Linked DNA regions of Canis lupus familiaris. The protein of the gene in region 2 binds, or shares a complex with, the protein of the main gene of each other region. Links are inferred from orthologs where the notes say so. Each region holds a gene or a part of one and is shown on either strand. Other genes may lie near its edges.

Evidence for each region.
Region 1: MED4 (region 2) and MED12 share a complex: the UniProt entries of both Homo sapiens proteins name them as parts of the mediator complex. The link is inferred for Canis lupus familiaris from reciprocal best matches to the Homo sapiens genes MED4 and MED12.
Region 3: MED4 (region 2) and MED25 share a complex: the UniProt entries of both Homo sapiens proteins name them as parts of the mediator complex. The link is inferred for Canis lupus familiaris from reciprocal best matches to the Homo sapiens genes MED4 and MED25.
Region 4: MED4 (region 2) and MED21 share a complex: the UniProt entries of both Homo sapiens proteins name them as parts of the mediator complex. The link is inferred for Canis lupus familiaris from reciprocal best matches to the Homo sapiens genes MED4 and MED21.
Region 5: MED4 (region 2) and MED13L share a complex: the UniProt entries of both Homo sapiens proteins name them as parts of the mediator complex. The link is inferred for Canis lupus familiaris from reciprocal best matches to the Homo sapiens genes MED4 and MED13L.
Region 6: MED4 (region 2) and MED7 share a complex: the UniProt entries of both Homo sapiens proteins name them as parts of the mediator complex. The link is inferred for Canis lupus familiaris from reciprocal best matches to the Homo sapiens genes MED4 and MED7.
Region 7: MED4 (region 2) and CCNC share a complex: the UniProt entries of both Homo sapiens proteins name them as parts of the mediator complex. The link is inferred for Canis lupus familiaris from reciprocal best matches to the Homo sapiens genes MED4 and CCNC.

Annotation. Positions count from the first base shown.
Region 1 is NC_049260.1:55,682,029-55,686,525, forward strand, and holds the start of MED12 (mediator of RNA polymerase II transcription subunit 12), read left to right. Parts: upstream 1-1,309; 5' UTR 1,310-1,514; coding exon 1,515-1,613; intron 1,614-2,154; coding exon 2,155-2,259; intron 2,260-2,470; coding exon 2,471-2,662; intron 2,663-2,799; coding exon 2,800-2,959; intron 2,960-3,503; coding exon 3,504-3,685; intron 3,686-3,874; coding exon 3,875-3,985; intron 3,986-4,122; coding exon 4,123-4,377; intron 4,378-4,497. UniProt on the Homo sapiens protein: Component of the Mediator complex, a coactivator involved in the regulated transcription of nearly all RNA polymerase II-dependent genes.
Region 2 is NC_049243.1:3,373,224-3,376,233, reverse strand, and holds part of MED4 (mediator of RNA polymerase II transcription subunit 4), read right to left. Parts: intron 2,373-3,010; coding exon 2,286-2,372; intron 1,037-2,285; coding exon 905-1,036; intron 714-904; exon of another isoform or gene 1-713. UniProt on the Homo sapiens protein: Component of the Mediator complex, a coactivator involved in the regulated transcription of nearly all RNA polymerase II-dependent genes.
Region 3 is NC_049222.1:107,412,690-107,417,297, reverse strand, and holds the start of MED25 (mediator of RNA polymerase II transcription subunit 25), read left to right. Parts: upstream 1-1,730; 5' UTR 1,731-1,787; coding exon 1,788-1,921; intron 1,922-2,017; coding exon 2,018-2,063; intron 2,064-2,294; coding exon 2,295-2,419; intron 2,420-4,608. UniProt on the Homo sapiens protein: Component of the Mediator complex, a coactivator involved in the regulated transcription of nearly all RNA polymerase II-dependent genes.
Region 4 is NC_049248.1:25,930,673-25,935,238, reverse strand, and holds the start of MED21 (mediator of RNA polymerase II transcription subunit 21), read right to left. Parts: upstream 3,258-4,566; 5' UTR 3,239-3,257; coding exon 3,197-3,238; intron 1-3,196. UniProt on the Homo sapiens protein: Component of the Mediator complex, a coactivator involved in the regulated transcription of nearly all RNA polymerase II-dependent genes.
Region 5 is NC_049247.1:13,131,937-13,135,960, forward strand, and holds part of MED13L (mediator of RNA polymerase II transcription subunit 13-like), read right to left. Parts: intron 2,729-4,024; coding exon 1,791-2,728; intron 1-1,790. UniProt on the Homo sapiens protein: Component of the Mediator complex, a coactivator involved in the regulated transcription of nearly all RNA polymerase II-dependent genes.
Region 6 is NC_049225.1:53,888,432-53,891,779, reverse strand, and holds the end of MED7 (mediator of RNA polymerase II transcription subunit 7), read right to left. Parts: intron 2,018-3,348; 5' UTR 2,001-2,017; coding exon 1,299-2,000; 3' UTR 932-1,298; downstream 1-931. UniProt on the Homo sapiens protein: Component of the Mediator complex, a coactivator involved in the regulated transcription of nearly all RNA polymerase II-dependent genes.
Region 7 is NC_049233.1:58,029,286-58,033,309, forward strand, and holds part of CCNC (cyclin-C), read right to left. Parts: intron 1,065-4,024; coding exon 958-1,064; intron 1-957. UniProt on the Homo sapiens protein: Component of the Mediator complex, a coactivator involved in regulated gene transcription of nearly all RNA polymerase II-dependent genes.

The DNA.
Region 1 (4,497 bases), on a different chromosome or scaffold from region 2:
GTGATTCAATAGCATTTTGTTGGTGTTACTTTGATTTGTTGTTTGCTAGTTTTGTTATTTTTAAATGTGTTGTTATCTCTTACTTTTATTTTTTTTAATTTTTTATTTATTTTATGATAGTCACACGGAGAAAGAGAGAGAGAACAGAGACACAGGCAGAGGGAGAAGCAGGCTCCATGCATCAGGAGCCCGATGTGGGATTCGATCCCGGGTCTCCAGGATCGCGCCCTAGGTCAAAGGCAGGTGCCAAACCGCTGCGCCACCCAGGGATCCCTCTTACTTTTATTATAGCATTCTGTCCTTTCTCTAAAGAGCAATGCCATCACAGAAAGGGTACTGGCCCAAGAGTCAAGGAAAAAATCTTAGCCTCAGCTCTCACAGTACCTGAATGATATCAGGCAAGTGAACTTTCACTCTTTGAAAATCAGCTTCCTCATCCGCAAAATGGAGACCATTATAATCTCTAACTCATGGGGCTGTTTGCAGATTAAAGATGATGGCCGAAAGTATCTGACACTTAGTAGGTGCCTCTTTCTCAACCAGGAGTTCGTGGGCACTTAAGGAATGCATTAATGACCTTTAAGGGCTCTAAGAATGTCCCTGCAAAGTATCTAACATTTTGTACTCCTCTGTAATTTTTCTGGGAAGGGCCAAAGCGTCCATCAGCATCTTTTTTTTTTTAAGGTATTTATTTATTTATTTATGATAGTCACAGAGAGAGAGGCAGAGACACAGGCAGAGGGAGAAGCAGGCTCCATGCACCGGGAGCCCGACGTGGGATTCGATCCCGGGCCTCCAGGATCACGCCCTGGGCCAAAGGCAGGCGCCAAACCGCTGCGCCACCCAGGGATCCCATCCATCAGCATCTTAAAGGGGTTGTGAATTAGACAAGGTTAAGAACCTCGGTGCCAGACTATAAAGACCTTGAGGAATTAGGGCTGGCCTTTCAGGGGTTTAATAGATACTTTCTTATGCAAAAGGTTTCTAATCTTCACAATAGCCCTTTGAGGGAAGCAACAGAACACCCATTTTTCAGATGCAGAAACTCAGAAAGGAAGAAGTGGTTTAGAGTAAAAGACAGAGTCCCTAACTGATGCAAATACACTGGAGCACCGATTCCAGGCCCAAAACCCAGCGAAGCCCCGAGACCCCAGTTTCAGCCAGAGCTCGGCGCCGCGGCTGCCTGCCTCCTCGCGGGGTCGCACCCCCGCCGGCCCACTGGCCCGCCCCAGGCTGTGTCACAGACTTGGGGAGTGAAATTGATTTTCGGCCGCGCGGAGCTCCGCCCCACGCCGGGCTGGGCCCCGCCCCCGCTGCAGTCGGTATTGTCCGACGGTTCCCGGCGTCCCTCGGTTCTCCTCGGTAGTTTCCGGCAACGATCGAGAGTTTCTAACGTCCCCCCTGTTGTCTCTCGGCTGCGGTCCTCGCAACCGCCGCCCCCCTTTTCGGTTCCCTCTCCCCCTCCCCCCTCAGCCGGCCCCGGCAGGCGCCTCTGGCGCTACGGGCTGGGCAAGATGGCGGCCTTCGGGATCTTGAGCTACGAACACCGGCCACTGAAGCGGCCGCGGCTGGGCCCTCCCGATGTGTACCCGCAAGATCCCAAACAGAAGGAGGTGCGTTCAAAAATCGGGGCTCTCGAGGGGCCTGAGGCGGGCGATCGGCAGAGGAGGAAGCATTGATGGTTGGGGGGGGCGGGGCGGTTCGGTGGGAGCCAAAGTCCCAAAACGGGTTAAGAGTAAAGTGGGCTGGTGTAGGAGAGTGGGACCTGGTGGGGGGGAGGAGGCTCTTGGGTGTGAATAGGGAATGATGTAGGGGCCACGCCGGAGGCGCCCCCCTCCACACACACACACACACACACCTCAGAAAGTTGTCTCAGGCAGCTTGGCGAGCTGCGGCTGCTTGCAAGCTTGCAAGGAAGAGTGATACTGAGCGAGCGCTGGGTGGTTGGAAATCTTAGTGACTGTGGGGGTGAGGGTGGGGTCCAAAGGAATATAAGGGCCTAGCTTTAAATAACAATCTGCTCTACTCAGAGTCCTCCTACCTTTTTTCCCCCTCCGTTGTTCTCTTCTCCTGCCCTCCTCTTCCACCACCACCACCCCCAAGGGGGAAAAAATAAAATAAAGGAAAAGCTAAAATGTCTTTTTCCTGCCTCAGGATGAACTGACAGCCTTGAATGTAAAACAAGGTTTCAATAACCAGCCTGCTGTCTCTGGGGATGAACATGGCAGTGCCAAGAACGTCAACTTCAATCCTGCCAAGGTGAGACAACCCTGCCAAGCTGAAGAAAAAGGCTGGAAGAATCTGAGGAGGGGCAAAGGCCCTGGGTTGGGAAGAACCAAAGGGATGACCTGAATGGCTGGCTGAGTGTTCCTTCGTGGCTTCATGCCGCCACATTGGTATTTGCCTGTCAGAGGCGTGAGTGCCTCTCTGCCCCTTCTTCCCACCCTGAAGTATAGTTTTCTTTCCTCAGATCAGTTCCAACTTCAGCAGCATTATTGCAGAGAAGTTACGTTGTAACACTCTCCCTGACACTGGTCGCAGGAAGCCCCAAGTGAACCAGAAGGACAACTTCTGGCTGGTGACTGCACGATCCCAGAGTGCCATTAACACCTGGTTCACTGACCTGGCTGGCACCAAGCCACTCACACAACTAGCCAAAAAGGTGAGGTGCTAGTTCCTGATCTCCAGGCCAAGGTGGGGAGCATGGGTATGAAGTAACTATCCTATTCCCAGATGAAGCTACATGGTTGCCAGCTTGTGGTAGTCATAGAGATCTCACTGTTTACAATGTCTGTCCAGGTCCCCATTTTCAGTAAGAAGGAAGAAGTCTTTGGGTACTTAGCCAAATACACAGTGCCTGTGATGCGGGCCGCCTGGCTCATCAAGATGACCTGTGCCTACTATGCAGCAATTACTGAGACCAAGGTTAAGAAGAGACATGTCATTGACCCCTTCATGGGTGAGTACCTCCTAATACCATGGGTCCCACCACTGATGGCATCAAGGAGTGACAGAGAGACCCTTGGTATTGTTCTCCTTCCTCAATACTAAGGGTCTCTCTGATGTTTCTGCTTGCATCTTACACTCAATTGGTAAATACTGAGTACCTTGAGTATCTACTGGGTACATGTCCCAGGCTGTCAAGGTGATTGGTACCTTATTCCCACCATCAGGGTGCTTCTTATCTGATAGGGATGCTAAGGCATGTGTATGAGTCCCATAATTAAACATAGAAAGTGTGTCTATGTGTATGTATGTGTGCGTGTCTCAAAAGAGCAGGTGAAAGGTTTTTTGAGATTTCAGTGGACAGAAAGATTACTTTCTTTGGAGGACACCTGGGAAGGCTTCAGGAAGGTGGCGTTTGGCCAGAGCCTAGGAGGATGAATAGGATTTAGAAGTATGGCAATTGGGGGGTGGTTGGCGTGGGCATGGGAGAGGGACACAGAAGATGTTCTAAGGAGAGGGATGGTATAAAATAGCCCCTGTTCCCGTCTTTCCCCTAGAATGGACTCAGATCATCACCAAGTACTTATGGGAGCAGCTGCAAAAGATGGCTGAATATTACCGTCCAGGGCCCACAGGCAGTGGGGGCTGTGGTTCCACTATAGGGCCCTTGCCCCATGACATAGAGGTGGCTATCCGGCAGTGGGACTACAATGAGAAGCTGGCAATGTTCATGTTTCAGGTAGGAAGAAGGGCATGTCCCTTGAAGCCATGGTGGAGCCTGGCCTCACATTCTGCTAGTCCAGGACAGAGTCTACCTGTCAGCTTGGCCTAGATGTGGCTCTCTTCCTCCTTTCATTTACTTTGTTTGCCTTATCTCTAATAGTCCCCCCCAGGGAAACTAATACTCTTCCTACCCCTTGGACCATAGGATGGAATGCTGGACAGACACGAGTTCCTGACCTGGGTACTTGAGTGTTTTGAGAAAATCCGTCCTGGAGAGGATGAATTGCTTAAACTGCTGCTGCCCCTGCTGCTCCGAGTAAGGCCTAGGATTTGGGGGCACGGCGGCGGGGGGCGGGGAAGGTGGGGAGCCTAGGGAGGGTTTGAGGAGGAATAAGATGTGAGTTCAATGTCCCTTGTAGAGACCTGGGGGTTTTAATCGGCATGTCTTTACAGTACTCGGGGGAATTCGTTCAGTCTGCATACCTCTCCCGCCGCCTTGCCTACTTCTGTACCCGGAGACTGGCCTTGCAACTGGACGGCATGAGCACTCACTCATCTCACGTTATATCCGCTCAGTCGACAAGCACACTGCCCACCACCCCTGCTCCTCAGCCCCCAACCAGCAGCACACCCTCTACACCCTTTAGTGACCTACTGATGTGCCCTCAGCACCGGCCCCTGGTTTTTGGCCTCAGCTGTATCCTTCAGGTAGGTGCCAGGTGGGCCCAAGGAGGCATTAAGAGGCATCCTGAGAAGAGTGGGATGCCCATCCTGGAGAATGGGGGTGATTCTAAATGGGAGGTAGGAACAAGCACGGAGCACTTGCTT
Region 2 (3,010 bases):
ACCCTCACCCTCAAGGCGGCTTCCCAGCCGGGCTCCCAGGAACCTGAAGGCTGGTGGATGGATCCCTGCCTGCCGGCTGCAGCCTGGGAACACCCCCTCCAGCCTCTCTGCCATCCAGTGGGCCACAGATGCTTCCCGCATCTGTTAGTGCTCTATTTTTTAAAAACAGCTCTCTTTACCCTTTAGTAGTCAGTACCAAATTTTCTTTAAATTTTCCTTGTTCATATTACTATGTGGTTTCTGCCTCCTGACTGGCCTGTGACTGGCAGGATATGGAATAACCCAAATGAGAAAAAGGCAAAGATATCAAAGGAAACTAATGCACAGTGAGCTCTCAGTTTGTCCTTTAAGCAGTTTTAAAAAACTTTTTAAATGTTCTACCAAATCAAAACAAGTCACCTACAGAAGATAAAAGGTGGGAAACAAAATAAATGTAATAACGCAAAACTACATGTAAAACTTGAGGAAGGCTGAAATTCAAAACAGCCCAAGTCTCACAGAAGTGCTATTTAGTTATTCAAAAGTAAAAAGTTGTTACTCGTTTTGTTAACTTGGGAGTTTTTCAAGAGTGATTTCACTTTGTATTCTTTAAAATGAACATTTATATTTCTTATTCTGTTGGTACAGTATATTTCACAATTTTATTTAAAAAGCTGTTTAGATTTTAATAATTAAAGGCCTAATGCCAAGGCAAATAAACTATCAATAAATGACAGAGAAATCAATTTGTTCTAATTTCATAAACTCCAACTAGAACAGTTTTTGATCTACAGAGCAGGATAACTGGCAAAAAACCTAGCTATTAAAACGAGTTGGGTCTAGACTCTCAAACTTGTTCAACAGCCAGACAGTCATGTCTTAAAAACTTTGGTGTGTTTGAAAACCCCATTCTGATTAGTATTACCTGGCAATCTGCCTGCTGCAAGTGCATCCCCTGGTAAATGACCATTTACACCATTCGTGGAAGGATTGTTCATTTGACCCAATAATCCACTTCTCATCTCTAAATCAGTTGGGTATGGTCTCCGTGGGTCCCCTAAAAAAAGACTGCTTTTAATTGAATCTTATGCAAAATAAGCAGCAATACCTTCTCTGAAGTATTGATTTTCCTTGGTTCTCTTTGAAAAACTCAGAAATATATTTTCAATTTTCATACAGGAAGGTCATCTTATCAATTGTGATTAAGAGCATAATATATTAAATTTAAAAATACATGCATTTCTTCTCTGAATCTGCACAGAAATATACTATTCTCCATACAAAAAAAAAAAAGTGTCATTTTAGCAATTCTAGATGACAAATTAAGAAAATAATAATGATCTTGAGTCTTCTAAGTTACCCACATTTCCTAGTAAGAACAAATGATACATACTCTGAAGGAGAATAAATATATGGTGTTTTGTTTTTTTTGTTTTTTTTTTTACAAGACAGAAAGGACTGCTTATTTGAAGGACTACCTAAATTAAAACTTTTTCTAATCAACCTCTTTGATCTTGTCATTTAGAGATTAATTCCTAGAACTTTCCAGTGGAGGTTTATCAGGAGCTTTCATTTCTAATCATGATAGTTTTGGGATAATGAAAACTTGGCAGATTTGGACCAACTTTTTAGTAATATTTCTTACTCCAGATCACTCACCTCCAAAACTGCAGTTAATCTTAGTGTTTTTAGTATGGTGAAATGCCACCATCATGAGATTCTGATGCTGAGATACTCTCCCACTCCTCCCAGAAGATTACTGCTCTACCGCAGGTCCCTGTCTTATAAATGTTTTATGTGCTGTCAATGTATGTTGTAGTTTGTTACCCCTTTTTGTTGTTTCTAATTATTCCAGCTCTTTCCAGTCCCATGTGTTTGTTTGTGAGCACTCAGTGCTTCACTGTATCACTGAAGATCTGGGACTGTCTCGTTTCCAAGGCCAGAACCCTTGACGAAATCCCAATGGTTCTAAGAAGTGGGCTTCTGGCCAGCCTGGGTATTACAGACATATAAATCTACAGCTTAGAATCATTACATATCATCTCGTACTTTTAAACATCAATTTATGATTTTTCTTTAAAAAGGACAAAAACACAGTCTCTATAGCAAAAGCTTTGCAGAAAACCAAACTGATAAACCCATAACCCAAATTATTACTTGTAAGATATTAAAGATATGAAAATATACGGAGGATGTTTCTAAGGATAAATATATCCTATATTTAAATCTTTTTTCCTATTTTTAAGTATAGTTACCTAAGAATTTTCAAAACCATATATACCTAATAAAAAGAGAAGTGTTTTTACCTGGAACCCAGGTCAGTGGAGCACACACAGCATTACTTGCACTTATTCTATGTGCATATTTAATTATTTCTTCAGAGGAGATGGCACCTGAGTCAAGAAGAGAGAGTAACATGTTAGTCTAGTAACTTACAAGTCACTTACTAAATTTTAAATTACCTGAAAATAGGATAATCCGAGTTACCTACCTTCCCTAATAAAAACTAATATGTATATTGTTAAATCATATAAGATTTCCCAACTAAAGAACAAGACATCTAGAAAATACAGCTGATAAAGCATCATATTTGGGACATTAGCATGATAATGCCCACTGACCTTGATTTCTAACTACCATTAAACATTCCTACTGTTCTGAAAGCAACAGTGAACACAAATAAGACACAGGAAAGGGTGTTTTGTCTTGCATTAACAGCTTAGCTATTAAAGCAGCAGCTCATACTACACCACTCAATTGTGACTTAACGTGACCCTAAGGAAAGAAGTAGACCCAAGTAGAAACATGTCCACAATATACTCATTAGATTTAAAAACTAAGCTGCTCGATGCCTGGGTGGCTCAGTTGGTTAAACATTTGCCTTTGGTTCAGGTCGTGATCCCAGGGCCCTGTGATGGTGTCTCACACTGGGCTCCCTGCTCAGTGGGTCTGCTTCTCCTTCTACCCCTCCCCATTCCTTGTGCTCTCTCCCCCCACTCAAAAAAAATCTTAAAAAAAAAAAAAAAAAAAG
Region 3 (4,608 bases), on a different chromosome or scaffold from region 2:
AAATAAATAAAATCTTTTAAAAAATGAAGTTTTATGTATTCATTTGAGAGAGTGTGAGCACAAACAGTGGGAAAGTAGAGAGAGAGAGAGAGAAGCAGACTCCCTGCTGAGCTGGAAGCCTGGCTGGGGCTCCATCCCAGGACCTAGAGATCATGACCTGAGCCAAAGGCAAGCCGCTCAACCATCTGAGCCACCAGGCTCCCCATCCTTAACTTTTTAGAGAGGTTTGCCAAGCAGATAGAGGTAAAATGATGATGGGATGTTGGGACTCTGCTTTAGAAGGCTTCAGCAGGCACATCTGGGTGGCCCAGTTGGTTAAGCGTCTGCCTTCTGCTTGGCTCAGGATACCAGGGTCCTGGGATTGGGCCTTGTGTAGTCAGTCAGTCTCCCTGCTCAGTGGGGAGCCTGCTTCTCCCTCTCCTCCCTGCTCCTGCTCTCTCTTGCTATCTCTGTCACTATCTCAATCCGTCTCTCTCAAATAAAGTCTTTAAAAAGAATAAAAATAATAAAAGACTTCAGCAAAGAAAATTAAAGCAAAAAGGGACGGATAAGGTAAATGTGACAAAATGGTGATATAACTGTATGCAAGAGGAATGCACCCTTTTATCTTGAAGTACATTACCAAACGGCAGGAGGGCAAGTTATGCTGATTTACAGCCCCTTCTAGACTATGTCTGAGCCCAAACTCCCCCGACTTCATTGGCATCATTCTTTCCGATATTAATTAGCACGACAAAAGCAAAATGCTTTTTAATTGGTGAAGATAAGCAATTTTCAGGGGTTTAATTGCCATTTTAAATTGTTTTGTATGGGAGAAGAGAGAGCCTTCATACCAGTAAAAAAAAAAAAAAGTATTTCTCTTTTCCTACGTTTTTATTGATGAGTAAGTTATATTTATGTAGTAAAATTTCAGTCAATACATGTTACAAACGACTTTCCCAGTTTATCATATTTTTTTTTCAACTTGGCTTATGGAGCCTTTTGAACAAATTGATCAATATTTTACGTTTCCTGGCTTTGCTATGATGATAAACTCTTTTCCCAGTCTTCAGGATTATGCGGTGTGTTCCTTTCTTCCTTCAGCTATTTTTAAGGTTTCATTTGTTGCATTTACATTTTTAATCCACCTGGAATGTATTTATGTTCTAGGCTAGTTTCTGGCCGCTCTCCCAGAAAACAACAATCAGGTGTTGCCTAGCAACCGCCACTTGGGTTGGAATTGGGCTTCTTTGAGAGGGAAGAACAGCTGCACTCCCCTCCGAGTGGCCGGCAACCCCAAGCGTTGCCTAGTAGCGCCATTTCAGAGGATGTGATTGGACCCTTCACACGACCCTCCCCCCATCTCTCCGCGGCAGAAAAAAATTAACCAGAAACCTAATCTCGCCGATAGAAAACTAGGGCAGCGTATGCGTTGCATAGCAACCAGGTCTCCGGCCCCTCCCATTGAAACCAGAGGCGGAGCGGGCGCCTCGCTCAAAGATGGCGGCCGACTACGGCTCTCTCCATGTATGTCACTCTCCACAGTCCTGACAATGACCCAATCTTCCCCGTCAGGCCCCTGAAGGGGTTCGCTATGCTCTTAATCTTGCACGCGGCGGGTACCTACGAGGATGGAGATAGAACCAGCGCGCCCTGCGTGCCCCGCACAAACATGGCCGCGGGCGCGCCGAGCCGCGGCGCTAAGACGTCCCGCGCCGGGGGGCGCGCAGCGCAGGCGCACTTCCGCTCTTTCCACAGCGGCTGCGGCGGCCGCGGCGGTGGCGGCGGTGGCGGCTGCTGCGCGGGGCATGGTCCCCGGGTCGGAGGGCCCGGCCCGCGCCGGGGGCCTCGTGGCTGACGTGGTGTTTGTGATCGAGGGTACAGCCAACCTGGGGCCTTACTTCGAAGGGTTGCGCAAGCACTACCTGCTTCCGGCCATCGAGTGAGTGCCGTTTCCCCGACTTCCAGCCCGGCCCTCCGACTTTAGTTTTCCACAGTCTCTTGCCTGACCCCGACCTTTTACCTCCGACCCTCGCAGGTATTTTAATGGTGGTCCTCCTGCCGAGACGGACTTCGGAGGAGACGTGAGTCTTGGGACTCCTGAGTCTGTAGAAGGAGGGAGGCGGGGACCGGACTCCTGAGTCTGAGGAAGGAGGAGCCCGGGGACCGGACTCCAGGGTCCGAGGGGCGGAGGGGGCCGGGGATGGACTCCAGAGTCTGAGTGGGGAGGAGTCCAGGACCGGACTCCTGAGTCGGAGGGCGGAAGAGCTGGACGGGAGTTCCAGATGAAAAGTTCCTCCCTCCTCCTCTCCCAGTATGGGGGTACCCAGTACAGCCTCGTGGTGTTCAACACGGTGGACTGCGCTCCCGAGTCCTACGTACAGTGTCACGCTCCCACCAGCAGCGCCTATGAGTTTGTCACCTGGCTCGATGGCATTAAGTGAGCATTTTCTTGTGTTAGGGGGTGGGTTGGGGGACCCTGTGAGGGACCATGAACGGATGGCGGCTTGACTTGAGTTTCAGGAACCGTCGCTCACACTGGGTGGCTGAAAGGACTGAGAGGGATTGTTTTTGTCCATAAGTCACTTCTGTGGTGGGTTCCGTGTGCTCAGCGTTTTTGCCCTCCGATGTGGAAGTAGAAAAATCTTCTCAGTTTGGGAGGCCTGTTGAGCTCCAGCTCCGATCTCGTACTGTGTGGTTCTCCGCATTTGGTCGGCTGTTCCTCATCTCCACCGTAGTATTCCTATTTCACATGGGCCTCTTGAAGCCTGAGTGCAAGGGGGGCGTGGGGCCTAGGCCAGGATAGATCTCTCTGTGCTCTGAATGGGATTTGGAATGTTCACATTGCAGGCTCCCGCGGGTACAGATAGCCTGTGGTCATATCACAGCTAAACCATCAAACTCCCAGACCCAAGAGTCCCTGCTCCCTTTGTGCCTAATGTAGTTTATCTCTTGTCGCTTTATTTATTTTTTTTAAGATTTTATTTATTTATTTATGAGAGACACAGAGAGAGATGCAGAGACATAGGCAGAGGGAGAAGCAGGCTCCCTGCAAGGAGCCCAATGCGGGACTCGATCCTGGACCCCAGGATCATGCCCTGAGTCAAAGGCAGATGCTCAACCACTGAGCTACCCAGGCGTCCCTATCTCCTGTCTCTTTAAAGGGGGGGATTAACATTATAGTACTTGTGTTAATTATTTATTGTGTTATTTATTCTTTGTTGTGTAACACATTATCCCAAAACTTAGTTGCTCAAAACAATAAACGTTGATTATCTCATGCCATTTCTGTAAGTAAGGAATTCAGGACTGGCCTAGCTGGATAGTTCTGGCTCAGGGCCTCATGAGGTTGCAGTCATGCAAGGGACCAATTTGTTTTCAAGGTAGCTCACTCTGTGGCTGGGGGAATGTTCTCCTGACGTGGCAGCTGGCTTATTTCAGACGAAGCAACACAACAGAGAGGGCAAAGAGGAAGCTACAAGAGTTTTTATGATCGAGTTTTAGAAGCCACACAGCGTTGTCTCTGCCACATTCTGTTTGGTAGAGAAGTCAGTCCTGTTCAGTGCAGGGAGCATGAGGGGAGGTGAATCTCAAGGGTGTGAATAACAGGAGGTGGGGATTGTTGGGGGTGGGGGGTGCTAGCTACCATGACTTCATAGGCATAGGCATTCTTTGGGAATTGAATGAGTTAGTTGGCTACTACTTAAAACAGCACCTGACATGTATTAAGTGCTATGTTAGTGTTCACTGTTGTTTCATGCCTGTTTCTTGGTTTGTGAATAGATAATGGTAGTTCAAATGTCCATGCTCTCTGGAGGATCACAGGAACTAATTTTCCTATGGTGCCTTCATACTGCCTAGCCCAGGTCTGGTCTGTGGTTAGAGTTCATGAAACGGCACTGGTTCATGATGGCTCTTCTCTTCATTCGTTTGTACGGCAAGAGTTTGCTACTTAGCAAACTGAGTGCCTGCTCTGTTCCAGGCTATGTGTGTGCAGGACTAGGTGCTGCACGCCCACTGGGAAGTTGACACCCAAGTTTGACCCCTCATGGCCATTAGAACTAGTAGTCAGGACAGAGTAGGATTTCCCAACCTCAGTACTGTTGACACTTTGGGCCAAATAATTCATTATTGTGGGGGATTGTCCACATGGCAGGATGTTCAGTAGCCTCCCTGGCCTCTAGCCACCAGGTGCCAAGAGCCACCTCCAAGTTGTGACCAACAAAAACGTCTACAGATGATTGTCAGCTGTCCCCTGAGGCAGGGGGTAGGGAAGGACAAAATCCACCCCAAATGAGAAGTACCGAGATAGGTTGTTTTAAGACATGAATAATGGTAAGACGGGACTCCCTGATGCCCAAGTTCAAGTCTGATGTCTAAGTCCCTAGCGCCAAGCACAAGGTCTGGCACCAGGGCGGTCTAAGGAGAACTGGGTGGAATGAGGGAATATGTGAGTGAATGCCCAGAATGCATTTTATATATATATATATAAATTTTTTTTTTAAGATTTTACTTATTTATTTGAGAGGGAGACAGAGTGTGGCAGAGGGAGAGGGAGAAGCAGACTCCCCTCTGAGCAGAGAGCCTGAAGCCGAAACCTGGGCTCAATCCCAGGACTCTGAGATCATG
Region 4 (4,566 bases), on a different chromosome or scaffold from region 2:
TAGCTTCCCTCAATAGTCCTGACCTTTTGAATCTCACTTATTTCCAATCTGTAACTATTTCCACTAAGTTTCTCTGCCATTTTTTAAATGACTGAACTCAAAGTCAACTGTTTCCTTTAATATCTAATCTTATTGAGAATCTCCTAGTTATAAACCAGTCTAACTTCAGACTCTTAATCTCCTTTCATCTTCAAATAGTTCTATTTTCTTTTCATTCTATCATTGGAACAGCAGGAGTTCAATTATCTCACAACAGAATTGTTACAATAGTCTCCTTCTAGTTTTCTAGTTCACTACTTATTTTACCCTGCTTAAAAATTCTGAGCTCAGGGGCATCTGGGTGGTATAGTTGGTTAATTGTCCAACTCCTGGTTTCAGCTCAGGTAGTGATGTCAGGGTTATGAGATCAGGCCCTGTGTAGGGCTCCACTCTCAGCAAGGAGTCTGCTCAATATTCTCTCCCTCCCCCTTTGCCCCTCCCACTTGTATTCTCTCTCTCTCAAATAAATCTTTATTTTTTTTTAAAGATTTTATTTATTCATGAGAATACACAGAGAAGAGAGAGACAGAGAGAGGCAGAGACACAGGCAGAGGGAGAAGCAGGCTCCATGCAGGGAGCCCAATGCAGGACTCGATCCCGGAACTCCAGGATCACGCCCTGGGCTGAAGGCGGCACTAAACCGCTGAGCCATCTGGGCTGCCCTCAAATAAATCTTTAAAAAAAAATTTTTTTTTTAAATTTGAGCTCACCCCAACATGGCCTTTAAGATTAATCTCCAACCCTTCAGGCTATTTCAAAGCTTTCGATAATCTAAGTCAACTCTACTTCTTCATTTTCTACTAATTCCTTCATATATACCTAACTAGTGATAAATTCATTCCAGACTATACTGTGTTGCTCATGTTTTGCTACTTGTAATGGCACAGTATTAAGTGCTTAGAAGCTGTACAGATGTGGATTCCAATTCTGGTTCTAGTAACCTGAGTACAGTTTTTAATTTTTAAACTGGGAACATTTTCACATTACACCACTGTTCTGAGGAATAAAGAAAACACACAAGCATAAATATTCAACACAGTGGCTATCTGTTGTGTTCTTCAAAAGCTCTCTCAAGATCCATTTATTCAATAAATATTAAAAAAATCAACTCTATGACAAGCATTGTAATAAACATTATAATGAAACAATGAACAAAGGCACAGCTTCTGCCCTCATGGAGTTCTCAGGGGGTAAAACAAATAACTTTAATAATTTTACAAATAATTACAATTCAGATCAATGCTTAGAAGATTTCCTTTACTCAGTTCATATCACTCTCTATTCCAATTTACCTCAGCACTTACATTTGAAGGCGCTTGATTCATTATAAACACCTAACCAAATCCTACTTTTAAATTATTTAAATGTCTTGAGTATATGACATCATTCCAATTAGACTGTAAACTCCCCAAGGAGTATTTTTCTGTAAACATGAGAGTGCTTACATACACATTAGGCATTCACACTAGTTAACCTAGAGATTTCTCTCCAAAATCCAATTATCAGCATGCTTACCCTGGAGTCAAGGCCATATTCACTGTCTCCTATTATCTCTCTGGTTACAAGACATGTATGAATATGCAACATTTCTCCTAAAATAACATTTCTGCCCAGCAGCATCGTTACAATTTGATTCTGAAGAGCCTCAAAGTAATATCTCCCAGAAGGAAGTTGGCTGGCAGCCCACGCATGTCACCATAAAGTAGAATTTATCTTAGTGACTTCATCAACCTTTAGGGGCTAGCCCTCTCAGTCCTAAAAGGTCTTATTTTATTTACGGAGTAAGTCAGTTTTATTTTATTTTTTTTAAGACTATTTATTGAGAGACGGGGGGGGGGGGGGGGGGGGGGGGAGAGGGAGAGAGGCACAGACACAAGCCCACTCCATGCAGGGAGCCTGAGGTGGGACTCGATCCTGAGTCTCCAGATCACACCCCGGGCTGAAGGTGGCGCTAAACCGCTAAGCCACCCGGGGCCGCCCGGAGTAAATCAGTTTTTCACAAGTCGATTCCCCCCTCATTTGAAGTGAACAAAGATGGATGCAACAAGAATCCTAACTTCTTATCTTCCGGTGTGAAAAAAACTGGCAAGGGAACAGATACTTCGATTTTCCAGTCAACATATTCTCTCTCTAAAGACATTTGACCTGGGATATCAAATTATAAACAGATTGGCAGGCCCGGGTGGCTCAGCGGTTTAGCGCCGCCTTCGGCCCAGGGTGTGATCCTGGAGACCCCAGATCGAGTCCCGCGTCGGGCTCCCTTGCATGGATTGTACTTCTCTTTCTCATGAATAAATAAAACCTTAAAAAAAAAAAAAAACAGATTGACAATGAGAAATATAACTAATGGCAAACTGTTGAACTCTTTATGGTCATGAGCACATGAATCCTCTGGTTCGCATGTACTTTCCAGTCAGGCATAACAGGAAAAAAATAATAAGGATCAAAGTAAGGGGGTCGGCTTACAAGATCTGACCCTTAACAGAAAGTAGACTTTTTGCGACACATTAAAGACTTAAATAAATGGGAACATACGCAAGGATTAGAAGATTCACTCTCCTAAAGATGTCAGTTTTCCCCAAACTGATTGATGCCAGGGAGCGCCAAGAGATGGGAACGAGACCCTTTGTCTCTGGGAACCAACGAAGAGGAAACAGAATTTCTCACCTCACCATCACTCCAGGCTCAACCTGCAAAGTCCTGACGCAGGAATACTCTCGGCTGACATTTAACAAAAAAATATCCAATCGTCAGGAGCACAGTTTCTCCTTCGCGGCTTAACACTGATAAGGGAAACAAGGAGCTTCTGCCGCTTTCCCCCTTACCCCCGAAAGAGAAGTGAGCCCAGAAGTACGACTGGCAGTAAAATAAAACTGTTCCCAGAGAACAGGACAGGACCGTGACGCCTAAGTGTCCTGACAGAGAGACCCCCTACTTTTCCGGTGAAAGAGGCTGCTGCTCCCTCAGCTCTCCGCGAAGCCGGCAGCCGGCCTCAAACCTCCCAGGACGCCGCGCCGCCTCCCGCCGCCGCCAGCGCTTTCTGCGGAAGCCCTGCCCCAGTCCGCTCCCCACTTTCGTGTGTTTTTCCCGGGGCCCTTTGCCCTCGTTTTACCTTAAGAAAGGGGAAGACAGAGACCAACAGAGCAAAATCGCTCACCGAGTTCACCGCGTCCTGCAGCTGTGTGAGCCGGTCCGCCATGTTCCTCCTGCAAGCTCCGGAGGCTAAAGCAGCTGCTCGCTCGCTATTGGGCGGCTTCAGGAAGCGTCGTAGCCAATCACAGGCCAGCGTTCTCGGAGGGGGTGGAGTCAGCGGCCCTCCGCGCCCGGCGAGTAGAGCGCGGGTGGGACTTTTGCGAGGCTGTGTTTCGGGCAGCTCCGCCCGCGAAGGCGCCTCGCGGAGGTTATTTTGAGTGACTTTGGGGTGGGGGTTCCGAGTTCCTTCGTTTTGGGTCCAGCAGACTCGTTCTCGAGGTTTTCGGGTGGTAGACAATTTTACGGAGATGGTTAGATGCTGCAGTTTTTAGAAGTGATTTTCCCCATCTTCCCGTGTATATTCGTTTTTAAACATTGCCTTGAATACTTACGTTACTTTGGATTTCCAGGTGGATCACCAAATATATACACAGCAACCAACTCAGGAATACTTGGGGGTCGCGATCCCGATTTTAACTTCAACAAATCCAAATTAAAATTCACCAGGCAATCTTGGCTGTGTTAGGGTGTCTCCTCTGGGGGGGTGGGGGTGGAGGGGGTGATGGGCCACCCAGGTGAAGACTGGGTGCGTGCTTTAATTCTGAATGTGGGTGTGCTGGGGAAGCTGACACACATGGGATGGAAAGCGTCCAAAACAACTAAGCACTAAATCGAGCTGTATTGACCGCGTAAGAAGAAAATGGTTGGGGGCAGCCTGGGTGGCTCAGTGGCTTAGCGCCGCCTTCAGCCCGGGGCGTGATCTTGGAGACCCGGGATCGAGTCCTACGTCGGGCTTGCTGCGTGGAGCCTGCTTCTTCCCTCTACCTGTGTCTCTGCCTCTCTCTAATAAATAAATAAAATCTTAAAAAAAAAAAAAAGTTGGAAAAGGAAGGTTTCTATAGGCAAAGTGAGTAGCAGAAGAGTGGCATCTGGAGTTCAGAGGTAAGGTGTGAGTGCAGTTAACTAATAAAAATCTCGCTCCTCTGACAGCGAGGAACTCAGTAGAAAGAACAGAAGAAGGTTGGTGGAGAGGAGAGTGGAGGAGGTTCCTGGAAAATGAGCCTTATGTGTAGGTAAGGGCAGGGACAATTTTTAAACAGATAAGGTGTGCAATTTATACTTAGCCGTGAGACCTATTGAGGATTTAGTGTGAAGGAAGATAATAGGAACTTGGTATCTGGAGCACCTGGCTGGTTCAGTGAGTGGAGCATGTGCACTTGATCTCCCGGTCCTATGTTCCACGTAGCCCCAGGTTGGATGTGTAGAGACTACTTAAAAAAATAAAAAAAGAAAAGAAAAAACAGAACTTGGTATCTAAGGAAAGTTATAGCTAGG
Region 5 (4,024 bases), on a different chromosome or scaffold from region 2:
CCTATCTTCGAATGATCAGTACCTCTCCAGGTATACACATCACAAACCTGGGTGTCTTCCTTAACATCTCGCTCTGACCCCTGAAATCCAACCCACTACTAAGCCCTGCAGTCCTACCACTTCCTCAACATACCTTATGTTTCTACTTCTTTTCCATCCCCTTTGCTAAGATAAGAAACCAGCTATTATTTCTCATTTGAGCAGTTGCACTAACCTTGTCTTTCCACCATTCTGCTATTCCCAAATCCACAGTCCGCACTGCACTCAGAGCTGGTTTCTTTACACAAATCAGATGTCAATGCCTCTTCATAAACCCACCAATGACTTATTAGGGTTCTTGGGATAAAGACCCCAGCCCCAGCAGGTCTCAAATTGCTCTTGGGGATCTAGCCAGCTCCAAGTTTCCTTCAGTTCTTTGAAGATGTATGTATTTATTGGGGGGGGGGGGGGAACAGAGAAGGGGAAAGACAAAGAATCTGGAGCAAATTCCAAACCAAGCACAGAGCCTGACTTGGGGCTCAATCTCACAACCCTGTGATCATGACCTGAGCCGAAATCAAGAGTCAGATGCTTAATCGACTGAGCCACCCAGGTTCCAACCCCCTTTAAAAAATGAGAGAGAGAGAGAGAGAGAGAGAGAGAGAGACAGAGTCATTCGGTTCTTTGAAAGAACCAAGCTCTATACAACTCTATACCACTCTTGCTGTTCCTTCTGTCTGGGATACAATTCCTTGCTCTCTAGCCTCTTCATTTTTTTTTTTTTTTTGAAATTTTTATTTATTTATGATAGTCACACACACAGAGAGAGAGAGACAGAGACACAGGCAGAGGGAGAAGCAGGCTCCATGCACCAGGAGCCTGACGTGGGACTCGATTCCGGGTCTCCAGGATTGCCAAAAGGCAGGCGCCAAACTGCTGCACCACCCAGAGATCCCCTCTCTAGCCTCTTTAGCCAGTTAATCTGTACTGGCACTGAGATCTCTAATGTTACTACTTCTTCAAGGAGGTCTTCCCTGACCCCCAGTCTAGGAAGGCCCTCCCACTCCATGTTTTTTTTTCTAATTGCTTATGATGGGTTTCTAATATGCTAATCTGTGTTATTATTTGCTTAATCTGATGTCCATTTTCCAGGACAGATTAGGAAGTCCCTCAGAGAGGTATCTTGTCTCTTTCAGTCATTTTATCACCCAGGATGCATCGCAGTATAGATGGTGAATGAAGAAGGGAAGGGAAAAGCAACTTGCATGGCATGCTTAGAGCTCAACATCACAGATATTTGTCAACTGGAACTTTTAATAATAGAAGAGTCAGTGACGTGCCTCAGGAACCATAACACAAAGTAAACTGTGATCATTGTTATAAGAGATGCAAAATACTGGAAAAACAGGAAGGAGAAAATGCTCGGTAAATGGGTAGAAGGTTTCATGGAGAAAGTATCACGGACAACTCATCTAGAAGAATGGGTGAATTTAAACACGCAACGTGTGCAAACTATTCGTCTGTGTACTCCCGATGATGCTGACACTTAGCAGTTGTAGGTTTCCCCGCACTGTCTATAGGAATTAATAGAAGTCTTCACAAAATAATTACTTGCCTCAAAGATGTTTCAATATAAAACATTTGCTCCAATCCTTAAATTCAGGAAGATTTTCAACAGAGATCTTACTTTCTTTTTTTTTTTTTAAGAAATAAAACTTAAACTTCTGTCATATAACAAACTAAAGAAAGTTTATCATTTGCCATCATGCCAAGATAATTTTTAAAGTAAATATGTATTCTGGGAAACCTACCGTTACTATGAGGCCAAGAGTGTACAGTGGCACTTCTCACCAGAGCTTCATCTACTTTTCCACCTGTGGGATTATCTACATACTGTCGGCCCTGCTCCAAGGCATTAAAGCATTCCGTCCAGTAATCATTATTATCTGCTTGTACCCGGTCATAACTCCAGCTTACACAGGGAAGAGTCTGACGACTGTTAGAGGAAATATAGTCCAGGAAACTCAGTGAAGCAAAAGGTTGTGTATGTTGATTCTGGAGGAGGAGGAGAAGGCTTATAGGTGGCTCCTGGGATTTTCTGGCTCCTTCCATCTGAGGAAGGAAGGTAGTCTGACACATCATTAAGCGCCTCTCCGCAGCCTGACCAATATCAGAATTCTTCCCAAAAATATCCAACTCATCTTCCAGGAAGAGTCCCGAATTATAGCCAAGTTTACGATTCATAATCGCACTAAACCCACAGGTACAGCGATATTGGTCCTCATTGGAAGAGTCAGGGATGTAAAGCCCAACATCCGCCCCTTTGATGTTCATGTTGCAGGCACAGATGCAACAGCTGTCAAAATTTCTGTCTTTAAAGATATTCATCACAGAATCTGAGAGAATCAGGGTGACATAGAGACTGTGGGCTTCAGGAATTGGCTGCATGGTGGCAGGCTCCACAGAGTTAAGGGGCCGTGTGGTAGAGGGGGTAGAGGCTGGTGACCCCTGATCGGTGCTATCATATTTAACTGACCCTTGACCACTGGCAGTGCCCCCACCTCTGGGAGTTCTTGGGGTCCTGGGGGTTCGTGGTGTGGGGACGGAGAAGCGAGGGGTTGCTGGAGATGGCAAAACTCCTGCTCCACTGTTGCTGGCTGGGGCAGCGCTGTTCAACGTCACTGGTGTGTTCATCTGTGGTGTATTCAGATAGTCTGGATCTGCTAGGCTCCCGACACTAGGCACATTACTGCAACAGAAATACCAAATGAGAACAGGTGCGTGTCACAGATGCTGGAATACACACACTATTACCCCACCTGGCCTGCACATTTACCATTTATGCATGCTATCACTAGGTATATTCAATTTTTTCTTTAAAAAAAAAAAAAAAGGATTCAAAGGAGTCAGTAAAGTACATGGGAAAGCAAGAAACATGGCATGAAGAATAACACACTACAGCATTTTCCTTCTACTTATTCCACATCTAAGCAATCTTCATGTTAATCTTTCAAGGGAACTTTACTGTTTTTATAAGAAAACATGGTGCTAAAAAAACAAACAAACAAACAAAAAACAAAAAAGAAAACATGGTGCTGGGTTTGGTCAATGAGTTTTGAAAACTTAAGTGGAACATTAACACATGAGTTCAGATGCTAAGTTAGCTAGAAGACCATAGGGTAAAATTTCCATCTAATTTGCAATTACATTTTTGTCATTTTTTAAAATTAAAAGTCTACCACTGTATTTGTCCTCTGAGGCTATAATCCATTTATGACTCTAAAGCAGTTACAATCAAACACATAGGAACATTTGCAATTTTTCTAATTTTCAAAACACAGTCCTGTCTAGGCTTGCATTTTTATAGACTGAGTGGCCATGAAGGAATTCAATTATAGGAAACCCACTAGCTACTACTACACTGTAATTAATGCCAATATCACATACATAGCTAGGAGACCTCAATATTAATTATATAAACTGCATAGTACATATATTGTATCATAGCTTCCAAACTTCTCTAACAGATTTCTGTGGGGCAGTAGACAATTTTAATTCATTTTTAATTTTCTTTTTTTTTTTTTTTTCATTTTTAATTTTCAATATGCTATGCATTACCTATAGCACAATTATTTTTAGTTCCCCAGAGACTGATCACATTGTGCTATCTTTTTTTCAAAAGTAATGACTTCTTTTTGGACTAGCCACACACACACACAAAAAAACAAAACAGGGTCTATAATGTTCTGCTATTCTATTATTGTAAAAAAATTTTTTGATATACATTCTTAAATGTACATGTAAAACAGCAATGGACCATTCCTTCCAATTAGAAGGTATCAAAAGAATACTGATTTCATCTAATACTTAATATTTTCTTGGAATCTCTTAATACTGTGCTTAAACTAATGTTCTTCCAATAAACTGCATATTCATTCACTTATAATTTGAAAGAAGAATGTCATAAAGTAATGGCTCTTCAAATAATTTTCTTGTGATGTTTAATTAGCTATGCCTAAACTACCAGCTTAAAAATCCAAATCAA
Region 6 (3,348 bases), on a different chromosome or scaffold from region 2:
CAGAAATAAAATGTCAGTGCTCAAAAACAAGCTGACTTCTCACTCATATAGTCAAATCAGCTAGGGTAGGGGTGGTTAACAAATGGAGAGCCTAGTCCTCAGCCATTCAAAGACCCACCTGACTGAACTTTTATTATTTTCAAGTGGCTTCCAAAGTTAACCCAGATGTAGCCATCCAACCAGCAGCTGAGAAGAAAATGGAGGAACTTACAAAAAAAAAATGTTATGGGGGCACCTGGGTGGCTCTGTGGTTGAGTGTCTGCCTTTGGCTCAGGTCATGATCCCAGGGTCCTGGGATCAAGCCCCGCATCAGGCTCCCTGCAGGGAGCCTGCTTCTGCCTATGTCTCTGCCCCTCTCTTTTGTGTTTCTCGTGAATAAATAAATCTTTTTTTAAAAAAATTGTTATGCAAGAGGCCTGAAGTTTTGCACTCATATTCCATTGCTAAGAGCTTAGTCCTATGGCTGTATGTAGACCCAAGGAGTGAAAAAATGTAGACCCTGGCATGGCAGCCATATTTCAGGGGAACAAGCATCTCCAATACACAATCCAATTAGTAGTCTCTGCTACTAATCCCCTTCTCATTGCAGGCTCCCAGCCTTAGCAAGTCTGAGTACAGCTTTAAAGGAAATGTATAGCTAATTACATAGACATTTTACTAAAATGAATGTAATGAAAAGTATTCAAAGGACTTATTATCTGCAAAAAAAAAAAAAAACAAAGGACTTATTATCTGAGTGACTGGAAACAGGTTATGAGACCTACCCACGGTAGGAACAAGAAGCTGAGATAGTGGGTTTTCAGAAGCACTCAAGAGGGAAAATAAAATTGCTGTTTTATAAATCTATGGGGTTCCTCTCTTTTAACATGTTACACTACTTTTTTAGAGATCAAGTAAATTTTTAAGTAAAATAAATCTAAAGATTTTATAATTTCACATTTAAACAGCTTGATATCCTTTATTTATCTATCATTCTTAAATCAAATAACAAACCTACTTTTCAAAGATGAAAGCTTGCTATTACTGAGGATATCTTTAATGTTTTCTGCAACTCCAAAACCAGGATGTTTCACACAATTTCAGCACTTTGCTTTTTAAGGTGATTACTTTTAACGTATGCATATCCTCATTTGCCTATACTTGCCATAAAGTAAAATTACAGCCTGTGACATCTCATAATTGATAAAGTTAGAGTCAAGTCATTTACATGACTTCTAGTTATATCTCTTTTGAAACTCTCCAAAGCAAATTAACCATATATGCCATTTACTGAAAAATAAAAGAAAAAGAAACATCCTTCATGGTCTTTCATTCATTTCATCAATTAGGACACACAAGGCAGCATCCTTCTCTATTATCTGGTCTCTCCTATGACCTGAATTTTCTCTTTGCTGTTCACTCTGTCCAGTACAATTGTTGCTATCATCAGCATCCATTGGTTCAGTTTTTACTCTCATCCCTGCTTCAGAATGGGGCAAATCATCAGGCAAAGAAGCCAAGCAATTCTGAATCATCTCAATGACTCGTTCCAGATGCTTCTGAAACCGCTCAGCTGTTTCAAGGCGTTGACGTTTCTGCACCTCCATCATTACTCTCAATGTCTCTCTTGCTTGGTGCGGTCGGTATTCATTTATGAGATGATGCACATGTACAAAAAGCAGCTTAAGATCTTCTAGTTTCTCTTCTCGTTTTATACTCCCAGGGCTCCTTATCAAGATATCTAAGAGGTCTAAGAAATTGATAAGAATTGACATATTGAGTTTTCTCAGTTCTTTCTTATGATCAAACTGCATAGGATGAAGCCGTTCGATGCCCTGGCTTTCTAAAGGGCGGATGATAAGATCATCACATTGGAACTGATTGCCAAACATCATATAGCTGTCTTTTATTGGAGGTGGAGGCTTGGGAGCGAGGCCTTCCTGAATATTTTCATCTGTATATTCCTTGATGTACTGCATTGGAGGTGGTGGAAGGGCACTCACTTGTTGTGGCTCACCCATAGTGGAAGATCAAGAACCTATGGAAATAAGCCAAAGATTTAGAGTAGAGTTATAAAACTAACCTGTCACAGTGGGTGACTACAGACAGTATTTTTCTTATTTTTCTTTGGCAGTTTGGGGCACAGGACAAAACAATCCCTTTAGTTTCTAAAACAACATGGACAGGCTGCCATCTTTTTCTAATTAGCATTGTATCTTCAATCATCCAACTATTTCTCCTTCTTTGCTTAAGACTTTCATTGGCACACACAAAAAATATATGAAGTAAAAAAAAAAGAAAAAATATATGAAATATATTTTCATCTATAAATAAAATCTGGAATCCACAGCCTTCACTAATTACATCACTTTTCCACACCTCTCTATAGCCAAATTACACATGCTGTCTCCCCATCTCGTATCACAATCCTTTTGGTTTTATATTATAGATTGATTCCAAAAGCAAACACCTACTTATAAGTCTAATAACACTTTGACAAAATTAACATTGCTGTATTTCAGACAGCTGGTATCACCTGAGCTTCTTTGATGAAATGATGATCCAATTTCATACCTTTTTTCCCTGCAATGCACACTACATTTTCTTATGGACACGTTAACTTTAAACCGACCATACCTGATTTTCAAGGTGTAACACCACCATCCAACACCAAAGATGGCAAATACTACTACACTGGAGGCAGTTTTACATTCGGAATTTTGTGAGATATTGAGTAAGGGCAGCTGTGGAGCAGCCCTGGGTTTCTACCAAGCCAAGATGGTGAAAAGGATTTTTTGGAAGTGAGGTGAATGAGCAGGTTTGGTGGAGTTAGGAGGCAGTGCTCAAAGGCATCATGATCTACTATAACTTTACCAACTCATAATTCACTCCCCTGCATATTCATTTTTGTCATTATCCAAATTGGCCTCAACCTCCTAAATCCACAAAAACTATTCAAAGTCATCAACAATCACCGCAAATCCAATGGATATTTTTCTAAAGTGATTTTACTCAATCTTTCATCAGTATTTTCTTCTTTTTCAACACACTTCCCTTCTCCCTCAGCTTCCATGAGCCTACATTTAGGTTTTCCTCCTATCTCAGTAGCCACTCCCTCTCAATCCCGTTTAGTGCCTTTCCTCTACCCAAATTTTAATGTTATATGCCTCAGAGTGTTGCTCTGGGGGCCCTCTTCTCACTCTAAATTAGGGAATCAGAAATTCAAGTGCCAAAACTGCAGGTAACATAAACAGTGAAGCACTCTGGGACAATGATCCAGATGAATAAGCATGCCAAATCTCAAAGTCTCCAGCCATTAGCTTTCATATGGGAATGAAGACTCATTGCTCCCCAGTTTATTTCTTAAAA
Region 7 (4,024 bases), on a different chromosome or scaffold from region 2:
TCACACTGGGTTAGGACTAGGATTTGCAAATCTGTTAAAAGAATATAAGTATGCATAAACAACAATAAAAAATAGAAACTGTCCCCAAAGCAAACACTATTCTTATATTAAGAAGATTGAATGATAGGTATTTCCCTCTATCTTCTAAGTATTTTCAGTGTTTTTCTTTTTTTTTTTTTCATATTATCTTTAGAATAAAAGCAAAAGTAAAATGTTAGACAGCTATCAAATTCACCTCAACTACCACTTTATAAAGTTTATTAAAAAGTCCATAATGAATTCTCAAAATAATAGAAAGGCGGGTATGCAGAAAAGTGAACTGGTTTTAGAAAGATCAGGTAACAAAGCTACATGGCAGAGCAAGGATCTTCTGAGTCTAAACCCCCTTCCCTCCAAAGCAAACTTGTAAGATAAAAATGACCAACATAGGAGGTCAACCCAAAGAATCCATTTATCCTCAAAATACTTGCTTTAGCCAATCTTAAATTAGACTTAATAACATATTATAAAGGTTTAGAGAGATTAATGACACTTTCAAACTGTCTTGAGTGTCCCTGACATGTAAGATTCACAACAGACTTTATATCACTTAGAAAGATAAATATAAGTTATGAAAAGAATACATGTATAAATAAAAATGTTAAGTAGGGACTAAAACAGCTCACCATAGATTACTATACAAAAGTTTTTTTTTTTTTTTTAAAGATTTTGTTTATTTATTCATGATAAGTCACACAGAGAGAGAGAGAGAGAGAGAGAGAGGCAGAGACACAGGCAGAGGGAGAAGCAGGCTCCAGGCTCCGGGAGCCGGATGTGGGATTCAATCCCGGGTCTCCAGGATCGCGCCCTGGGCCAAAGGCAGGCACCAAACCGCTGCGCCACCCAGGGATCCCACTATACAAAAGTTTTAATTCAGAGGTAAACAACTATACCATTTCAGTTATTTATTTTTTTTACCATTTGTAAAAAATATTTGTAATTTCCAATACTCTTCTTCTGAGAGAAACTTTAAATCCTTCTGGCGTTCCTTCAACAGATCTTGTTTATCCAAAATCCATTGCAAACTACAAGAACAAAGATGTTAAGACACGTTACAGAAAATCAACTAAGTCACAAAAAACATTCTAAGACTGAACAAGTTGTGAACATTCTAAGAAATACAAAATGCCAGAAGTAAACTCTGAAGACAGGATTTTCTACATTTCTTGAAACTGAGAATCATCTCACTAATGAATGTAAATATGCTCTGAAAAAATTCCACTCTAATTTTGCCTTTTTCATTCTCTTTCTCACTACCTTACACTGTTTTTGCATTGGTTTTAAGACTCTGATATCAAGAAAGATCTTACAGTCAGTGATGCCTTAGGCTTTTAATTGGCAGCACGTTTATTTTTTTCCTAGTGATACATAAAATAATAGTATAGTTATTTGGCACTAAATGAGGATACCTTAGATTTGAAGTATCTTTTCTTAGTTGTTCATGAGTAACTACAGTATTTAATTTTTCGACTTCACAAATTCCAATCATGTTAAAAGCTGCTTCATAATTTATTACACTAATAGCCTCCACTTGCCTAGTTAAGTCTACTATTTTTAACCAGATATGAAATTGAAATGACCCAAAAAACCACTCTGCAACTTGCCTTTGTCACTCAGTATGTACTGGAAGTCTTTCCATGTCAACAAATTTGTTATTCAGCATCTCTTTAAATCGCTGCACATCATTATGGATGGATTATTTATTTAGTTAATTCCTATTAATAGATATGTAGCTTATAATCTTTTATAATTAAAAATAAGACTTTAATGAATATCTTTGTACTTCACCCTTGTACATTTGGTTAATAATATATTTAAAATAATTTCCTAGAAATAGAACTGATTGGTTGGTTTTGCTGATAACTTTTACATATTCAGTTTGTATTCCATACATCATACCAATTTCCATTCCTATTAACAGTACATGAGAGTGTTTTAAAATACTTAAACCCCCTATGGGTTACGGTTAATCTTCTAAATACTGTACAACTTAAAGGCAAAGTAGTATCTTACTGTTTTAGGGGATTTTGTTTTTTAGTTTACTTCTGAGGTTAAACATTTTTCCAGGCCTTATTGGCTAAATACAGTTCTTCTTTTGTACACTGTAATTCTAACAACAGTTTTTCTAATGGGATGGTCTTTTTCATGATTAAAAGATTCTTCTCATGTAATTTGCAAATTATGGTTAGTAAATCATTTGTCAAATACACTGAAAACATTTCCCAAGTTCATGATCTCTTAATATTTAATTTGTAATACAGAAATATGAACACTTAACACCAACCCATATTGTACTTTGATGTTATGCTTGTCACAAATGGGAAGGCCTTCCCTGACACAAAATGACTTAAAAAAAAAAAAAAATCACCTACATTTTCCAATCACTTAAGGCTTTTTTCTTTCAATTTTTCTTATTTCTATGCCACGCTATTTTAAAACATAAAATTAAATTATTGAAAAAAAATTAAATTAATGAAATCTGGTATGGAAAATACCCTCCTTGCTGCTTACTATTCTTTAGAAAATTTCTACATATTCTATTACATTTATTATTCTAAGGCTTGAACTTTAGAAGTATGTTAAGTCCCAAAAAAGGAAACTCATTCAAAATTGTTTGGGATTGCATTAAATTTACACATCAATATAGGGAGAAATGCTATCTTTACAACACTAGAATTCAAACTCCATTTATTAAAATCTTTACTACTACATAATTTAAAAATTTTCTACTACATAATTTAAAAATTTTCTTCCTATAGATCCCGCACATTTCTTTAGTTTATTGTGTATTTCATATTTCCCACTGTTATTGTATTTTATGTTTCCATCATTCATTTAAAAGAAAGCTTTCCACTTTTTACATTTTGTAACTGGTCATTTTATTTTTTATTTTTTAATTTTTTTTATTTACTTATGATAGGCACACAGTGAGAGAGAGAGAGGCAGAGACACAGGCAGAGGGAGAAGCAGGCTCCATGCACCGGGAGCCTGACAGGGAGCCTGACGTGGGATTCGATCCCGGGTCTCCAGGATCGCGCCCCGGGCCAAAGGCAGGCACCAAACCACTGCGCCACCCAGGGATCCCTGGTCACTTTATTAAATATTATTTATAATAATTTGTCAATTAACTGAATTTTCTGGTTAATTTTATCTGTATAGGATGACAATTTTGTCATTTTTTATATCTCATTCTATTAATTATATTGAGTAGCAATTCAGAACAATGTTAAGCAGGCACTCTAATTTTCCTAATGTTTCACCATTAAATATCTCTTATCATTCATGCTTTGATGCTCTTACCATGTTAAGAAAGCATCCTATTTTAGTCAAGAAGAGATGTTGAATTTTAATAGACGTCTTCTGATGCCTTCACTGTCTATTAACATATTTCCTAATATCGACTATATTTCTACAAAATCACTGCCTTTTTTAAATTACTAGTATGATGTTAGGCTCTACTTGTTAATACTTTATGATGTTTACATCAATATTCAAAACGGAGACTGTTCTTAGTGCTACCTTTGCTAGATTTTATCAATGTTATTGTAGCTTCATAAAGAGAACTGGAAAGCTTTTTTTCTGTGTGAAGTGATTTCAGTAGCAGATCCTCTTGAAAATGGGAAAACATATAACCATGAAATAACGTGGGTATGGAGCTTTTTAAATGTTTTAGCTTTCAACTTTATTACCATGGAGATAACCCAAAGGTACATTTGGGTTTATTTATTTTTCTCATTCCTAATTTTGTATCTTTCGTGTCATCCCTCTTTTCCTTGATTCAAGTAGCTGCAGTTTAGTCTACTGTTTTGATTTTCCCTCCCAAAGAACTAGCTCTGATATTTTCTATTTTTTCTTTTAATTTGTTACTGTCAGTTACCTCTGATAAGTCTTTCCTTTTTTTCTCCCTAGGATTTATTTCACTATTTTCTTCTTTATATTCTTAAGTAGACTATTTTGATTTACTTTTATTCTTTCTGTTATTCTG